Linked DNA regions of Caenorhabditis elegans. The protein of the gene in region 1 purifies or fractionates together with the protein of each later gene. This does not show direct contact. Each region holds a gene or a part of one and is shown on either strand. Other genes may lie near its edges.

Evidence for each region. Proteins that work in one complex are often made in the same cells at the same time.
Region 2: the proteins of F35G12.12 (region 1) and rpn-9 fractionate together in Caenorhabditis elegans (co-fractionation; one large-scale study listed by BioGRID). This does not show direct contact.

Annotation. Positions count from the first base shown.
Region 1 is NC_003281.10:4,580,130-4,584,039, reverse strand, and holds F35G12.12 (26S proteasome non-ATPase regulatory subunit 5), read right to left. Parts: upstream 2,246-3,910; coding exon 2,210-2,245; intron 2,163-2,209; coding exon 2,062-2,162; intron 2,016-2,061; coding exon 1,907-2,015; intron 1,825-1,906; coding exon 1,543-1,824; intron 1,495-1,542; coding exon 1,303-1,494; intron 1,258-1,302; coding exon 1,200-1,257; intron 1,150-1,199; coding exon 949-1,149; intron 898-948; coding exon 787-897; intron 740-786; coding exon 565-739; intron 511-564; coding exon 300-510; 3' UTR 147-299; downstream 1-146. Other genes in the region: wdr-48 (WD repeat-containing protein 48 homolog), read right to left, coding at 2,475-2,760, 2,810-3,001, 3,053-3,200, 3,255-3,348, 3,402-3,500, 3,551-3,657, 3,703-3,875.
Region 2 is NC_003280.10:11,237,320-11,240,997, forward strand, and holds rpn-9 (26S proteasome non-ATPase regulatory subunit 13), read right to left. Parts: upstream 1,601-3,678; 5' UTR 1,600-1,600; coding exon 1,505-1,599; intron 1,456-1,504; coding exon 876-1,455; intron 827-875; coding exon 440-826; intron 390-439; coding exon 288-389; 3' UTR 128-287; downstream 1-127. Other genes in the region: T06D8.9 (Store-operated calcium entry-associated regulatory factor), read left to right, coding at 2,399-2,474, 2,524-2,753, 2,806-3,194, 3,249-3,504.

The sequences.
Region 1 (3,910 bases):
TTCGTTTAACCTTCACGTTGTTAGCATTTCATTTTTTGACGCTGAAGCTTTGAAACAATCATTTCAGTTTTCAAAACTCGTTAAAGATTGAAGTAAATGGGATTTCAAACACAAGAGTATATGTAAAGACTTATATTAAAAACATTACATCAATAAATTTCATTAAAACTTCAAACCGGAACATGAATTAACGGCGAACAAGTCATTTTTGAGGCAATAAAATACTGTATTGGAATAATTGAGATGAAAAAGAAACAAAAAATTGAATAGTCAAAGAGATTCAGGATATACAGATCAATCTAAAGAGCCATTTCCTCAACACGCGGAGCAGGTGCAACAGCCGGTTGCAGATATTTCTTGAGACGGCCAATCAGTTCTGGATCAGCTTTGAGTACTTCGGCGCTCTTTGTATTCTCCGACAATTCAATGATTCGATGAATAATTTGACGTTTGCGAATTTCGTATTCTGGATTATCTTCTGATTTATCGTCCAATGCCCAGTCAATGAATCTGAGAAAAAACAATTTTAATAAAAAATCTCGCATAAAAATGTCGTTAACATACCCCTGGAAAGTGATGAACTGATGAACAACTGATGGATATGTGAACAACTGTTGCCAGAAATCATAAATACAATTCTTCATCTCAGGGAACGGCTTCTTAACATTTCCAACTGCTACATGTGTCAATGCTTTTCCACCGAGACGCTCGTACCATGTTTCAGCAATTTTTTCAGTCGCTGAAATTATTAATTTTCAAACATTCCACATAACTAAATAAGCTCACTATTCTGGAAAAGGAGAGTGACGGCCTGAAGAGTTCGACACTTCAATTCCATTGTTCCCATCGTACATGCAGCACCAGCAGCTCCCAAAGTATTCTCAAGATCTTTTGAATCTGAAACAATATGATTTTTAATATCTTGCTTTTGAAAAATTTGGAAAATACCTTTGAACATATCCTCCAAAGTTTCTTTTGCCTCGACAGAGAAGCACATACTGGCAAAATGATCGAAAGCTCCAAGACGACTGACCACACTCAATTGATCGAACATTCTGATTTCGAGCATGAGACGCCGTGCAAGATCAGGGAAATATTTAAGAACTTGTGGGTAGGAACGAGCCATATAACACATGAAACGTGTTCCGTCTGTTGATAAAAATATTGTTAAATATTAATTGAATGAACTGGTAACTTACATAAATACATTTCCCCACCATCTGGAGACTCCTTCGACCATTCCATCAACTCATAAATCTAAAGGAATAACATTAAAAAAACAAATTTATTGCAAATTCAAACCTTTTTGACGATTCCCAATTCGTACAAAGCCTCTGCATTCTGTTTTCCACTAAGTGCAATATCAACGAAAGTGTCCAAAGCATCCAGTTGAGCAAGAACATCTTGAGTATCTAGAACACTTTTAAGAATCTTGTCGTAGAGCCAATGAATGCATGAAGTGTTAGATGAAATGCGAGCTCGTTCAGTAGCAATCTGAACAATTTTTCAATGAATTATCAAATTAAGAATTCAAATAATTACGGAGTAAATACGACTTCTAATGGATGAACTTTCTCTTCCATTGGCAACACTCAGCTGCGATTTGAGCTCTTCATTAATCAAGTCGTGATCCACGAGGTGTGCCATCAGACGTCCAACTTCCTCTCCAGCTTCAGCATCTGTAACTCTTCGAGCAAATGCAACTCCAATTGCAACCGATGATGACTTCAAAAGGGAAATCGCTCCTTCCTTCTCACGGACTGTGCGGACTACATGGCGAAGAATATTCGGATGTGCAGATGGAATGAATTCGAGAAGAATTATCTGTAAAAGATTGAGATATTACAATTTTTATTAGAATTTTTTTTTATTAGATTAGAATAGTCTAAAAATTGATGTCAGGTACCTGATGATCGACAAGAAGATCTTTGGTTGAAATATCTCCAATAATCAATTTTACAAGCTTGCTGGTGCTGAAGTCATCAAAATCAGCAGCGGCCACGTCATCTTCTGTTCTGAAATAATTTCATTTTGATACTATCTGATATTCATTTAACGTACTCCATTTGCTGAGCCGCTTCAATTTGCATCTTTGCAAGTTTTTCCAGAATCTCCCATCCCTTTTTCGAACTGCGTTCTGCGATGTAATCGTTTCTCCACTCCTGAAAAAAATTGGCTTAAAATTGGAAGAAATTTCAATAAAACCTACTTCGATCAGTTTTTCATGTTCTTCCAAACTAGCCATCTGGAACGAATACGGTAGGAGGTAAAAATATTAAGCAAGAAATGAAGATAAGCTGGTAGTTAAACCATCATAATTTTAAAAAAGAAAGAAAGACATATGGAAAGAGCATGGAATTTAATTGAAAGTCGGTTTTACCCGTATCAAAAAAGAAGTTAGACAGTGAATTTTCAATAAAGTACAAATGTTAGATAAGTATGTTCAAATAAATAACTTAAATTAAATGTTAAAGCTATTTAACTGGTTTATAATGTAGAAGAAGCTCTCCACTTTGCTTCCAATAGAGATGCTTGACTGTTCGCAAATCCATATCCGGCTCCAACCTCTGATCATTGCAGTACATTTCCATTTTTGTATGAATTTGATTTAGTGGAATCGAGCCAACTGTAATATCTTCAAACACCATTAATATCTTCTTATTTCTAAATACCTTACCATCATTAGTGCTGAGTATTTTTTCGTAAACATGCTCCATCACTTTCTTAACTTGAAGCATTTCAGTTGCTGACAGACGATCTCTGAAAATAGTTCAAAATTTTAATGAATGAACCCCGCGTTTTCACAAACTTTTTAGGCTGTTTGGGATTTGTCGACGGATGTGGAAGAAGATAAAATGGCATTTTATTGAATTTCGGCAGCTGATTTCGTTCGATTGCGTCTATAACCCACATGGGTGCAATTTGTGCCAGCTCATTTGCTTCGAACTCCTTCCCAGCGTCGCCAACAAGAAGACGGTAGAGCGGACGACCATTTCCTTCGCTGAAATTAGTTTTTTTAATGTTTAAAATTTGAGCCTTCAAATAATTTTACCAAATAATAAGCGGTGTGTGTTCCGGTAGAGAAATAAAATTCAGTGTTGCTTTTTGCACATCATCTGCATCAGCTGCATCAACATTTGTCATTTTACAAGGTGGCCATCGTTCGAAGAGTGATCGTAGCATCATTCCACCGTAATTCACTATAATTTCTTACAAAGGAATGAGAAAGTTTTTATTTTCGTATAATATCTTACGTTTTGTCTCTCGATCATTATCATCAAAACCTGCGTCTTTTGATGAAAGCCACGAGGAGAGAGCGTCCAGCTCGTCCAAAGTGATTTGGAGCATCTGAAATCGAATAGGGTTTTATTTTTCAAAAATTTATAAAACTTAAAACTCACTCCACTTTTTGAATCAACGACAAACCAGCTTGGAATGTATACTTGCCTAGAGTTCTCATCGACAACTTCTTCAAATATTCGCTTTCCATAATCTTTTATCTGAAATTTTATCAAAATTCAAGTAGTAACTTTTAATAATGGGGACAAACCTTTCTTGCTGCTAAAACATCATATAGCGCCACATTTCCATCCGAGTCTCGTGTCAAAACGTGTCGTTTGTCGCTCAACATGGCATGTTTCTTGATGGCAGGAGCGCCTGAATAAACAGATTAAAAATTATATCTGCATATAGTCTGTTTACCAGGAATAACGAGCTCTGGTGTGCTCTGTTGTCCTTTTTGATCCTTCACTCGGATATACTTGAATGTTACTGGAGGTGATGATGAAGCTGATACTGAGTGATTTGCATTTGAAGTTGAAGGACCATCTTCGTCTCCTCCAATCGAAAGTTGGGCTGATGGGCGGATGGACCAGCTGAAAACTGAAAGTTTATTTTTTTAATAAAATAA
Region 2 (3,678 bases), on another chromosome or scaffold:
GGCTGGAACAATCACAGTACTACATTACTCGAAGACGAAGAGAACCCGAATGTTAAGTATTGAAAAGTACTAGTGAACTATTGACACGGTGTTAGTCACATCTGACATCGAGAAAATTCAATATATTCACAGTCGATTAATTTATGAATTCAAATAAATACACACAGAAAGAAGACTGAACGATCTTGAAATTGTAGAATACACGTAGCAGTGTAATTATAAAAATAGAGGATTCCGGGATTGGGATGGGGGAGCATGGAGAAAATAAATTAAAGAAATGAGATGATTTAATTTTGAGTGAGAATCTCGCGTGCCTCTTTGCTGACGATTCCTTCCATGGAGTTGACATCGTTCCTCCATGCGGAAATGCGAGTCGCCATTTGCATTATCTGAAAAAAAGAAAATAAGTATTTTAAAAACTTATAATCAATTCTTATACCTGAGGATTATCTAAAACTCTTGGCTGCACCCATGTCACGTAGACAACTTGCTCAACTTGATTGATATCTCCACGAATGAGATCCTTGCTCAACGCCTTCATCACCAAGAACTCAACTTCGTCGAATGGGATCTGGCACTTCGTGGCGATTTCTTTGAATGAAACGCTTCTGGCTTTGGTTGGACGAGAGACTGCAAGTTCCATGACAGCCATCAGACGGATTTTGGCAGTCAGGAAATCCTTTTGCTTCTTCAAATCGTCCCAGCCTCCCCAATCTCCTTCGAGCGAGAAGAAGCGCGTCAAATCTCCCGAATTGAAGGCAAGAAGCACGTCCACGATCCAGCGTTCACGAGTTCCTTCGAGCGATTTGAGGATGGGGTGAGCAAGCTGAAAAAACCGTTTATTGGGGGAATTTAAATTGAGAGTTTCAACAAACCAATTCTCCGAAGTTGTGCACGTTTTCTCCCAGAAGAGCAGCGAAACCGAGAAGAACCGCATGGACTTGCTTCTGTTCTGTTGTCAGATTATTGGCGTCCTCAACTCCAAGATAACGAAGAGCTTCGCGATAATATCCAGCGAAGTCTCCAACTTCACGAAGATATAAAGATGAGACGCGGTAGAACGGGGCATGAACTTCTGTAACTCCGACAAGTGAGTCCACTTCGTGTTGTGTCGAATCGATTTGAGTTCGAATGCTCTTCAGATCAATAATCTGTCCATTTTTGTCCTTGTTCTCCAGTCTGGCTTCAATCTCTCCGGTATGAAGTCGAGCAACGGCAATCTTGTCCTTGTTGATGACGTTTCCAATTTTTGACAGGAATTCCATAGATTTTTGCTTGTCCTTTGTCGCGATATTTTGGGCGATCGAAATGCAAATCTCGACGAGCTGAAGAGGGTTGACACGCAGCTCCCACTCCGCCACGAACAGTCTGTAGAATTCGTGCATGTCCGTTGAAGCCACAAATTGTGGCTTCTTCACAAGGGATCGTGTCAGAACCGTTAGTTGATGCCAGAGCCTGAAAATTAGTGAAATAGTTTGTGTCTACAAAAACAATTGATTCTTACTTTTTCTCCCAGAGCTCCTTGAGATTCTTCCAGTCATCGGCCAGAGGTCCATTGGCAGCCGCCAGCTTTCCGTTGAGGTAGTCTTGAGCAGTCATCCTGAGAAATTCTCGATACATTAAAAATTGAGACGAGAAATGAGTGAAGAAGAAAGAAAATGAAGGAGTAGGAGCAATCAAAACAAAAATGGATTTCGAATAGCTAAAATGAACATTTTTGGCGAGCGCGCTCTCACAAAAATCAAAACAAAAAACTTTTTTTGAATTTTATTTGTCAGCAATTAAAGGCGCATGGCCTTTCACTTTGGAAATATCGAGACGCGAAAGACAATGTTTTCGGTCACGGCCATATGTCTGCGTCTACAGTCTCTTCAACATATGCGATAGGGCGCGCTTGCAACAATTTATTTTTCTTAATTTATTTTATTGTTTTTTAACAGAAGATATTGTTTTTAAAGTGCGAACACCCTTCTCGATTTATCCGCCAGCTGGCAACACAGCTTTTCAGGTTTTCCTTCCAGATTTGTGTGTTTTCTTCTTGGTTTATAGCGAAATCTGATAAAAATCGCAACTCTGAATAAAAATTATGTCAAACAAAGGCGTTGCTGTAAAATTGTGTCCATCCAATAGATTTTCCTCGCTTATTCTCGTATTATCTTTTTTCTTGATTTGCAAAAAAATGATCCAAGTATTTCGAAATTTCTGAAAATTCCGTGTTGTTACACGTCACATATCCTATCATTCGTTTTCTTCATTATCATCTTTTCTCCCTTTCACTGCAACGCTTCAAAATTAATCTCTGGTGCTTCGTTCTTATCTTCCGGTACTATTTCAATGTTCATACTACTTTCTATTGATTACTCGTTCAAAATTCCTAATTGTTAGTTTCTTTTTTCAGATGATCTCTCGATTTACAACGAGTTTCCTTTTATGGATGCTTCTGGTGTTCACAGTGGTATTCTTCGAAACTTCTGGTAAGTTTTTCTTTTGATTATTTGTTTCAATAATACAAATGAATTTCAGCGGCCTCTGACAAAGTTCTTCTTCGCGATGTATCAGCAATTACTCTACACAAAGGAAAAATGACGACAGGACGACGAGTTTCTCCAACCTTCCAGTTGAAGTGTGTCGGTGGATCCGCGAAAGGTGCCTTCACCCCAAAGGTGGTTCAGTGTGCAAATCAAGGTTTTGATGGTTCGGATGTGCAGTGGAGATGTGATGCAGATTTGCCACATGATATGGAATTCGGATCCGTTAGTTTTTTAAATATTTCCATCTCGCTTCAAAAAATGTTTCTTGTTTCAGATCAGTGTTTCATGTGAAGGATACGATTACGCAGAGGATCCATACATCCTGAGAGGATCTTGCGGGTTGGAGTATGAGCTCGAGTACAATTCTGCGAGCGGTAACAGATCAGTTTCTCGAAAGTCATCCCAGGATCGATGGGATCAGTTCGCCACGTTCGTCGTCGTCGCCTTCATCGCCTACATTATCTACGCGATGTGGACTAACAGAAATCAGAACCCAGAAAGCTCTGGCTACACTTCTGGTGGATCAGGAGGTCCTGGAGGCCCAGGATCCGGCGGAGGAGGTGGTGGTCCAGGTGGTTATCCAAGTGCTCCTCCACCATATGACGACTACTCCAAGCCACCGCCATATGGGTTCCGTGGTGACTCGCAATCTGGAGGTGGATGGTAAGGAATTTTAAATAAAAATGACCTTATTTTCATTAAAATTAAGTTTTTCAGTCAGGGAAGTTCTAGCGGAGGAGCAAGTGGCAGTGGCGCCAACAATGGTGGATCGTTTTGGACTGGAGCAAGTCTAGGAGCCATTGGAGGATACCTGGCATCCAGCTTCCTCAACAATAACAATGCCTACGCCCGTCCACGATACAACAGAGGATTCTTCCAAGACACAGGCTTCTCAAGTTCCGATTCCTGGTCATCACCTTCTACTTCATCAATGCGCTCAAGTTCTGGTTACGGTGGCACCACGAGACGATAGTTTCCTTATTGAGATCCAAGAAGTACGGGTGCAAACAAAACTAGTTTTGCTTTTTCTTTGTCTTGTCCATCTTTTCGATAAAATCGAATGTACATTAGCTAGTTTAAAAATCGTCGTTCCGTTTATTATCTGGCATTGCACTAACGAATAAAGTTATAATAATTGAAGGCGAAA